2 linked regions of the Mus musculus genome follow. The protein of the gene in region 1 interacts with the protein of each later gene in a biochemical or structural test. Links are inferred from orthologs where the notes say so. Each region holds a gene or a part of one and is shown in the gene's direction. Other genes may lie near its edges.

The links.
Region 2: the proteins of Gabbr2 (region 1) and Kctd12 form a complex in vitro, tested with the Homo sapiens proteins (2 studies listed by BioGRID). The link is inferred for Mus musculus from reciprocal best matches to the Homo sapiens genes GABBR2 and KCTD12.

Annotation. Positions count from the first base shown.
Region 1 is NC_000070.6:46,677,065-46,680,873, reverse strand, and holds part of Gabbr2 (gamma-aminobutyric acid type B receptor subunit 2 precursor), read left to right. Parts: intron 1-3,221; coding exon 3,222-3,404; intron 3,405-3,809. UniProt on the Homo sapiens protein: Component of a heterodimeric G-protein coupled receptor for GABA, formed by GABBR1 and GABBR2. Within the heterodimeric GABA receptor, only GABBR1 seems to bind agonists, while GABBR2 mediates coupling to G proteins.
Region 2 is NC_000080.6:102,979,590-102,984,066, reverse strand, and holds the start of Kctd12 (BTB/POZ domain-containing protein KCTD12), read left to right. Parts: upstream 1-1,429; 5' UTR 1,430-1,626; coding exon 1,627-2,610; 3' UTR 2,611-4,477. UniProt on the Homo sapiens protein: Auxiliary subunit of GABA-B receptors that determine the pharmacology and kinetics of the receptor response. Increases agonist potency and markedly alter the G-protein signaling of the receptors by accelerating onset and promoting desensitization.

The DNA of each region.
Region 1 (3,809 bases):
GAAATGAATTATCACTGGCTGGCCAGAGTGCTCCAAAGAGTCAACTGCCTCTGCCTTCCTAGCACTGGAGTTGCAAGTAGGCACCACTACCATGACTGGCTTTTGTCCCGTGAGAACTACCTTAATCTCTTCCAATCCATGCAAGCATAAAATCCGAGTTCGATGATAAGGAAGTTAAGTTTTAAAACATGCTACATATGGCATGCCCATCATCTTAGCAGCCCAGGGGAGGCAAAGGGAGATCCTTGAGCTCACTGGCCAGCCAGTCTTGCTGAATTGGTGAAATCCAGGTTTGGAAAAAAATTATAAAGATACCCTTTGTTAAGGTCTGGCCTCTGCAGGAAACCAGTTGTGAGGGTGAAGAACTGGGGGCCTGATGCACCCCCAGTCTGCATTCCCTAGGGATGCAACTTGGGGCCCCATATGCAAGTGCACACATGTGCACTTGCACCCACACACACTTGTGCATATAGATTAAAAATATGTACACCAAAACACGCCTCACACAGAGAAAGAAAATAAATTAGGAAAGAAAGGGAAGAGATCAGTGGCGGTGCACAGCTTAATTCCAGTGCTCAGGAGGCAGAGGCAGGCGGGTCCCTGAGTTCAAGGCCAGCCTGGTCTACAGAGTGAGTTCCAGGAAAGCCAGGACCTGTCTAAAAAGAGAGGAAGAGAGAAAGAAAAAGAAAGAGAGAAAAAAGAAAGAAGGAAGGAAGGAAGGAGGAAGAGAAGAGCAAGGACCCCAGAAACTTCACAAACTCATCAACCCCAAATTAACAAACTATTAATGTTTGTTTGGGCGCTCCTGATGTGTTTCCTGTTGATCTTTTAAATTCACATGTTTAAGTTTTATTTTACAAGGGGAAGAGAGGGTTCAGGACTGCCATAGCATGCGTTGTCAGAAGACAACCTGCTGAAGTCAGTTCTCTCCCTCCGCCAGGTAAGTTCTGGGGCTCGAACCCAGAGCAGCAGAGACTTGGTGGCAGTCACCTTTCCTTGCTAAGCCATCTTGCCAGACCTCGGTCTTCATTTTTGGTTTGCTTTTGCTTTTTTAGTTTGAGGATTTTATTAATTTGTTAATTTATGTATATAACTATTTTGCATGTATGTATGTATGTATGTATGTATGTATGTATGTATGTATGTATATGCAATGTGTGCATGCTTGGTGCCCTCAGAGGTCAGAAGTCCTGGGTCTGGAATTAGAGAGGGTTGTGAACCATGTGGGTGCTGGGAATCAAACCTGGGTCCTCTGCAGGAGCCCTGGGTTCTCCTAACCACCGAGCCATCTCTGGTCTTACTGCATCTCTGGTCTTACTCATTCTTTCCCTTTGCATCTTTTGCTTGGCTCCCCACCCGTCATCCTTTCCCAAACCCACCTGAATTATGAGGGTGGGGCCGTTGCCTTCAATATCCACTCGATCCCTTATTGCTGAATGCTCCCATTGTAGATATTTTTAAGGAACATTTTTCTCTGCATAGCACATTCTTTTGTTCCCACTCATGTGCTGTAGACAGCCTTAGATGTGGCATTATTGGGTCAGAAGGAGCAGCCCCTCTGAGTGTCCACCCACATCTTACAATGCAAGCGCATCACACTTTTGACGTGGTGACGAGATGTTGTCTTCTGCAGAGCTCATGCCCAAGAACCAATTTTTAACTCCACTGCCTTTTTAAGAATCACACTGAAAAGGGCGTAGTTTCAAGTAAGCTTACGGTTGCATGTTGGGCGGCCTCCGGCGCTCTCAGCAGCCACATGTCCCCTGTTGGATATGGCTGTCACACCAATCGCGAGGACCGACTTGAAGAGATATTTTGCAAGCATTATTCTTTGCAGCCATGAATAAAGAAGCCTTAACCTCTCGGGGACCCGTGCAGCCTGACCTCAGATATATATAAATCTTTTAAAAATTGAATATTTTAGAAAAAGAAAAGAAAAGCTGGCAGGATGAGTCAGAGGCTAAAGCCCTTACCACAAAGAGCTGACAACCTGAACCACATAGAGATGCAAAGAAAAAAAACCAGCCCCACAAAGCTGTTCTCTGAGCCTCACATGCATGCCTTGCTGTGTGCTCACATGATGATAAACATAATAATGGTAGTGATGATGATGATGATGATGATGATGATGACGATGATGATGATGATAGCCCTCACCTAAGGTCCTTTGCCTGTGCTGGATCTCCCTTCTCCACCATCCCTTCCAGACCACTGCCCCCCTACCCTGACTCCCTACCCCACCCCCATCCACCACTCCACCCCCCACCCCCACAGCACAGCAGGTCCTGATGGCTACTGCATCCCTAATTCCTTCTGGCTGGATGACAATGAAGCTCTTCTTCACACCCACACCCAAGGCTAAGGAGTCCCAATGGAGGCTGTGGAAACTCCGCTCCTGGTCTCCAGGGCTAAGCCTAGAGCCCACCATGGTCGAGAGAAGGTTCTAGAATGTGTGGATAAGATTGGAGTCTTGGGGCAACTTTTTTGTCTCAGATTTTCCCAATGGGGCTGGGAAGGTGCTATGGTAGTTAGCAATCCAAATTGCTGTTGCAGAGGGTCCAGGCTCAGTGCCCAGCATGCCGTCAGGTGTCTCACAACTACACCTAACTACAGCTCCGGAGGACCCAACTCCCTCTGCTGGTCTCCACATCCACCTGCATTGCATGCACTCACATAACCACCCCATGTATACGCGCACATAGACACATCATTAAAAGTAAAATAAAAATCACTTTTAACTGCTCAGTCATGTCCAGACCCCTACCCCACAGAACCTATAGGATAACAGATGTGAGGGGTTTTAAGATGCTAAGTGCCTTTGCCAGGACAAACAGGTCAACAGCTAGTCTCTAAACGCACCATGGTGTGAGCAGTCTTCCCTGTCCTCTATCTCTTTGTTGTAGAAATTCTCCACAGTGGGATCCTGCCCAATGCCTTGGGCTGCCTCTGTCCTGGTAGGGTGTGAATGATCCAGAGTCAGAAGGCTGACTCTCCTATCCCAGAAGGACTCTGAGGCTCAGTGACTGGGAAGCTGCCTGTCCCCCCTTCATGCCCAAGCCTGTGCCAGGGCCCAACAAGGGCCTGGGGCTCCTGAGCCCCAGCCTGCCTCCTTCCGGGATGGGGGACCCTGTCAGTTCCCATGTAGGACTTGGTGGGGGAACATGATTGGAGAGAGAGAAGAGTGGCAGGAGTCTCACTGCAAGCCGCCTCTGTCCCTTCAGCTCATCACTCTGAGGACAAACCCTGACGCAGCCACTCAGAACAGGCGATTCCAGTTCACACAGAACCAGAAGAAAGAAGATTCGAAGACCTCCACCTCAGTCACCAGCGTGAACCAGGCGAGCACGTCACGCCTGGAGGGACTGCAGTCAGAAAACCACCGCCTACGAATGAAGATCACAGAGGTACGTCCACAGCTGGAGACCTCCGATCCTCCTGTCCCTTCCCTCTACCTGGTCTCCAAACAATCCCTGCTCCATAGTCCTCTAGAACAGCCCGGGTCATGGCAACAGGGAGCTTAGCACATCCGACCCAAACTTAGCGCCAATTGGCCTAGACAGAGTCCAACAGTCCCCAATGTGTTCAAAAAGAGACAAAACTTGGGAGTATCTGCAAGGAGGACCCCCATACCCACCCCCCCAATGCTCAGCATGGTAAGAGAGTACAAAGATAAGCTTCCCCAGAGTGGCTGTGCTGTGGTGAACCTGTCCCCCAGTTCTGAATTGCTTCTTGAATAGTCCAGAGAGGGCATAGCCAGGACACTTCATGTCTAAGCCATACCCCAGATGAGGTCTCACTCTCACGTCCTA
Region 2 (4,477 bases), on another chromosome or scaffold:
TTATTAAAATTGTGGTTTTTCAGAGTCTCCTCTATCTTGGGCTTCTTGAAGCCCTTATCTATTTATTCACCAAAAACCAACGATCAGATAACAGACCACAAATTTGAGATTTCAGAACGTGCCAAGTGCAAAGATGGGAATTTGAAGAGCAACCTGTCTCATTCCCCTGGGAGACCATGGAAGGTTTCCCGGCAGTGGCAGAATTCTGTGGGCTGAAATTTGTGCATGACTCCAAACGCTGAACAAGTAGGAGTCCATAGAGAGCATGGCTAAATCTGAAGGGCCTTCAGACCTACACAGCCTTTCTTCTCTGGTGGACGGTCTTGTAAAGTACAGAAGAGAACGATGGAGGGAGGAGGAGAACACGGGTTACTGGACCTTTAGAACAGTTATGCATGGGCTAAAAGTAAATTATTTTCTATACGTGCATTAACATTTCAAGGAACAAATAAAACATCAGCGGAATTTTAGTAAAATAATGAAATACTAGTAAAATCATTAAATACTAATAATACGAATAAAAGAAAATATTAGATTGGAATTTTCTGGTGCGATTTACAGATGGCTGAAAGCAACCGGAGGCCTCACGTCCCACTATTGGAGGCGCTTATTAGCTTTTCTTGCCCACGCAGTGTAAGCCCCTCCCCCCCCCTTTGTGTCCACCCAACTTCCTCTCCTAGTCATTTCTGCTCACTGCAGTACTGTGTTGTGGTTTCCTAACCAAAGACTTTATGCTCTCGCAAAATAATCTAACAGAGCATTTTCGCGAAGCATTCGCTTGTGGTTTCTAGGGATTTTTCGAGGCTATACGCTAGTCACATAGTCACGTGAAAAACCTTTGGGTGGTCTGGACTTGAAGGGACCGGTGCATCCTTTCCAAGTTAGTGTCTCTTCAGAACTTCCAGAGACCCGGGGATGGATCTCCAACAGCAGCGCTCTGCACTGTTAGAAGCGGGTAGGTCTAGAGGGCGCTAGCCGCAGGCAATCAAGCTTTTCCACTCTGCCAGAAAGTTTCCAACCCCTTCTGGAGTCCCCGGGTGCCGGCTGCGGTCAGCCGAGAAGGGCGGCGGGAGGGGAGGTGGGAACACAAGAGGATCGCTTTAGTGATCAGCCTCCTGGAGAAGCGCCTGGAGGCTCTGACCCACTGCGGAAGAGGAAGAGGAGCTGGGCCCGGAGCGGGTGGGCGGACGGGCGGTGACAGTCCGGTCGTCCCCCGGAGCGCGCGGGTCAGGGTGGAGCCTGCAGCCCCGAGCCGCGTCAGCGTTTAGCATGCAAATGCATTCCCCGCTCCTCCCCCACCCCCACCCCGCCCCAGCCCTCCCCGCCCCGGGAGCGAGCTCAGCGGCTCCGCAGCCGCCCACCGCCTCCTGCGCGCCGCGCCGCCCAAGCGGGCGGCTCTACTTAAGCGGCGCGCGGGCCGCGACCCGCCACTCGCCTGGAGCGCGCGGGCGAGGCAGGCGCAGCGCACCGGGGCTCTCGTGGGCGCACTGCTGCGCGCTCGCACCGCGCGGCTCTCAGTGGCCGGCCGCCGCCTGAGCGCAGGGCTCCCCGATAAGAGCCGCTGGGGCTTCCGATCGCGACCCCGCTCCCTGCCACTTGGCCCATCCGGGCCACCTCTTTTTGGCCATGGCTCTGGCGGACAGCACCCGAGGATTACCCAACGGGGGCGGAGGCGGAGGTGGCAGCGGCTCGTCGTCGTCCTCGGCGGAGCCGCCGCTCTTCCCGGACATCGTAGAGCTGAACGTGGGAGGGCAGGTGTATGTGACCCGGCGCTGCACCGTGGTGTCCGTGCCCGACTCGCTGCTCTGGCGTATGTTCACGCAGCAGCAGCCGCAGGAGCTGGCCCGGGACAGCAAAGGCCGCTTCTTTCTGGACCGGGACGGCTTCCTCTTCCGCTACATCCTGGATTACCTGCGGGACTTGCAGCTCGTGCTGCCCGACTACTTCCCGGAGCGCAGCCGGCTGCAGCGCGAGGCCGAGTACTTCGAGCTGCCGGAGCTCGTGCGTCGCCTCGGGGCGCCCCAGCAACCCGGTCCGGGGCCACCGCCGCCGCACTCGCGCCGCGGGGTGCACAAGGAGGGCTCTCTGGGCGATGAGCTGCTGCCGCTGGGCTACGCAGAGCCCGAGCCGCAGGAGGGCGCCTCGGCCGGGGCGCCTTCGCCCACGCTGGAGCTGGCTAGCCGCAGCCCGTCCGGGGGCGCGGCGGGGCCCCTGCTCACGCCGTCCCAGTCTTTGGACGGCAGCCGGCGCTCCGGCTACATCACCATCGGCTACCGCGGCTCCTACACCATCGGGCGCGACGCTCAGGCGGACGCCAAGTTCCGGCGGGTGGCGCGCATCACCGTGTGCGGCAAGACGTCGCTGGCCAAGGAGGTGTTTGGGGACACCCTGAATGAGAGCCGGGACCCCGACCGGCCCCCGGAGCGCTACACCTCCCGCTATTACCTCAAGTTCAACTTCCTAGAGCAGGCCTTCGATAAGCTGTCCGAGTCGGGCTTCCACATGGTGGCGTGCAGCTCCACGGGCACCTGCGCTTTTGCTAGCAGCACCGACCAGAGCGAGGACAAGATCTGGACCAGCTACACCGAGTACGTCTTCTGCAGGGAGTGAGCTCCCCACGCCCGCCCCTCGCCACTCCGGTGCCCACTTCCCTTCCTCCCCTCGGGGGACAGGATTATAGATGCCCTCGCTTCCTCCCTGTTTCCCGATTCCTTCTGCCCCCACCCCCAGATCTCCTAGTAGGTCACCCAGACCCGTCTGCACCCCACTTGCGAATCTGCAGCCACAAATCCTCTGGGCGTCTTCATCATCTTTGGACCCCACTAGCCGAGAGAGTGTTCTGATGTAGCCCTTCACTCATGCTTCCTCTACTCCTGGCCTCCAACCACCCTTCCCCCAGATTGTCGTGATCTAGTGGGACAGTCACCAAGTACCTGGGAATGACTGAATTGATCAGAATCGGATTGCACGGTGTCCGGCGTGCAGTTCGGACGAGTCCTTGACATCTTAAACCCTTTGACTCCATAGCGGTTTCAGAGATCAGAACTGAGAGTGCTGTGTGGAGAGAGTGCTTTAAAAGGTTGTTAGAGATTTGACCCTCATTAGAAAGAGAGTTTTAGACAATTGAATGGTAGACCGTATGCTGGAAGACCCCAAGGACGCAGTTCAGAGACTGTAAATAAAGAGATTTTTTTGTTTGTTTTTAAAGTTACAGGTAGAAGTAAATTCTAGTACTGGCAACAGGGGAGAGTTCTATTTACCCCCAACACATTAGATCTCCTGTGGCTTAAAATTGTAGAAAGCAATCCTCCTGCCTGCGGAGGCGCCCTTTCTCTTCAGCTGTTTGCCGAGCTTTAGGTTTTGTTGGTTAAGGCTTCTAGGCTAGGAGCAGGCAGGGAGCGGGAGGCAGCGCTTCTAGAAGTCACCTGGCAGTGACCCAGTAACGCAGGAGTGGTTAGTAGGGACAGTCAGCCCTTACTTAGGTCTAGGACTGTGGGAGGGTTGGGGAGGGAGGAAAGATGGGAGGAAGGGCGGGAGGGAGGAGGGGGACATGCTCATTTATTATTTGAAAGTTGGAAGTTTGTATAATCCATTTGAGTATGTGCGCATTTAAAAAAATATGAAACAGTACGTGTAAACTTAGATTTTATCAAGATTAGTAGAAGACCCATCTTCAGCTGGAAGTCTATCGAGCTATTTTGAGTCCTAAACTTAGTTGCTAATACTTGTATAACCTAACCAAAGAGTTACCTAGTAGAGTTTTTAGTGATTTGAACATTTATTTTTCTTGTTGATTCTATTTCCTCACTTATAGCCTATTTACTTAAGCAAAATAAGTTTGATTTTTAATTACTTAGACTTCAGATCTCTTTATTATTATTATTATTATTGTTAGCAGTAGTGTTTTTAAATTGATGTTTTCTGCAAGGCCAGCAAGTGTGGGCTGCTGGGCTGTTCTGAAAACCGGAACAATGCTCTTTCTTTCCTGCGTTTGTTTGACGTTGCAGTGACAGATTCGAAAGATCAACGGAAGCACGGGGGGGGGGGGCTGCCCATCTGTAGATAGCTGTCAAGTGGAATGTTTCTAAATGAAGGCAAATAAGTACTTCAGTGTGAGCCGAGCAATAACGCGGTATTTAGGTGAATGCAACAGAAACAGGGGACCTTTGCCTTATTGCCTTTCCTCTCACGTGGAATGAATTCCCAGTGTGTATCCTGTGTACACCACAGCAGAGAGGAGGTATGCCCGTATGCTTCCACACCACAGCAGAGAGGAGGTATGCCCGTATGCTTCCCTCTGAGAGACGTCCTTTGGATAATCTGTGATTACAGAGAAGCCTTTGTGTATGTGTGTGTGTTTGTTTTATCATCTTACTCTGAAATATGTTTTTAAGGATTTTTGTAAGAGCCATTTGAAGTGTTTAAATTAGAGCTATTTTTTCCTTGTTTTTAAAAAACGAACCTTGTACCGTGTATC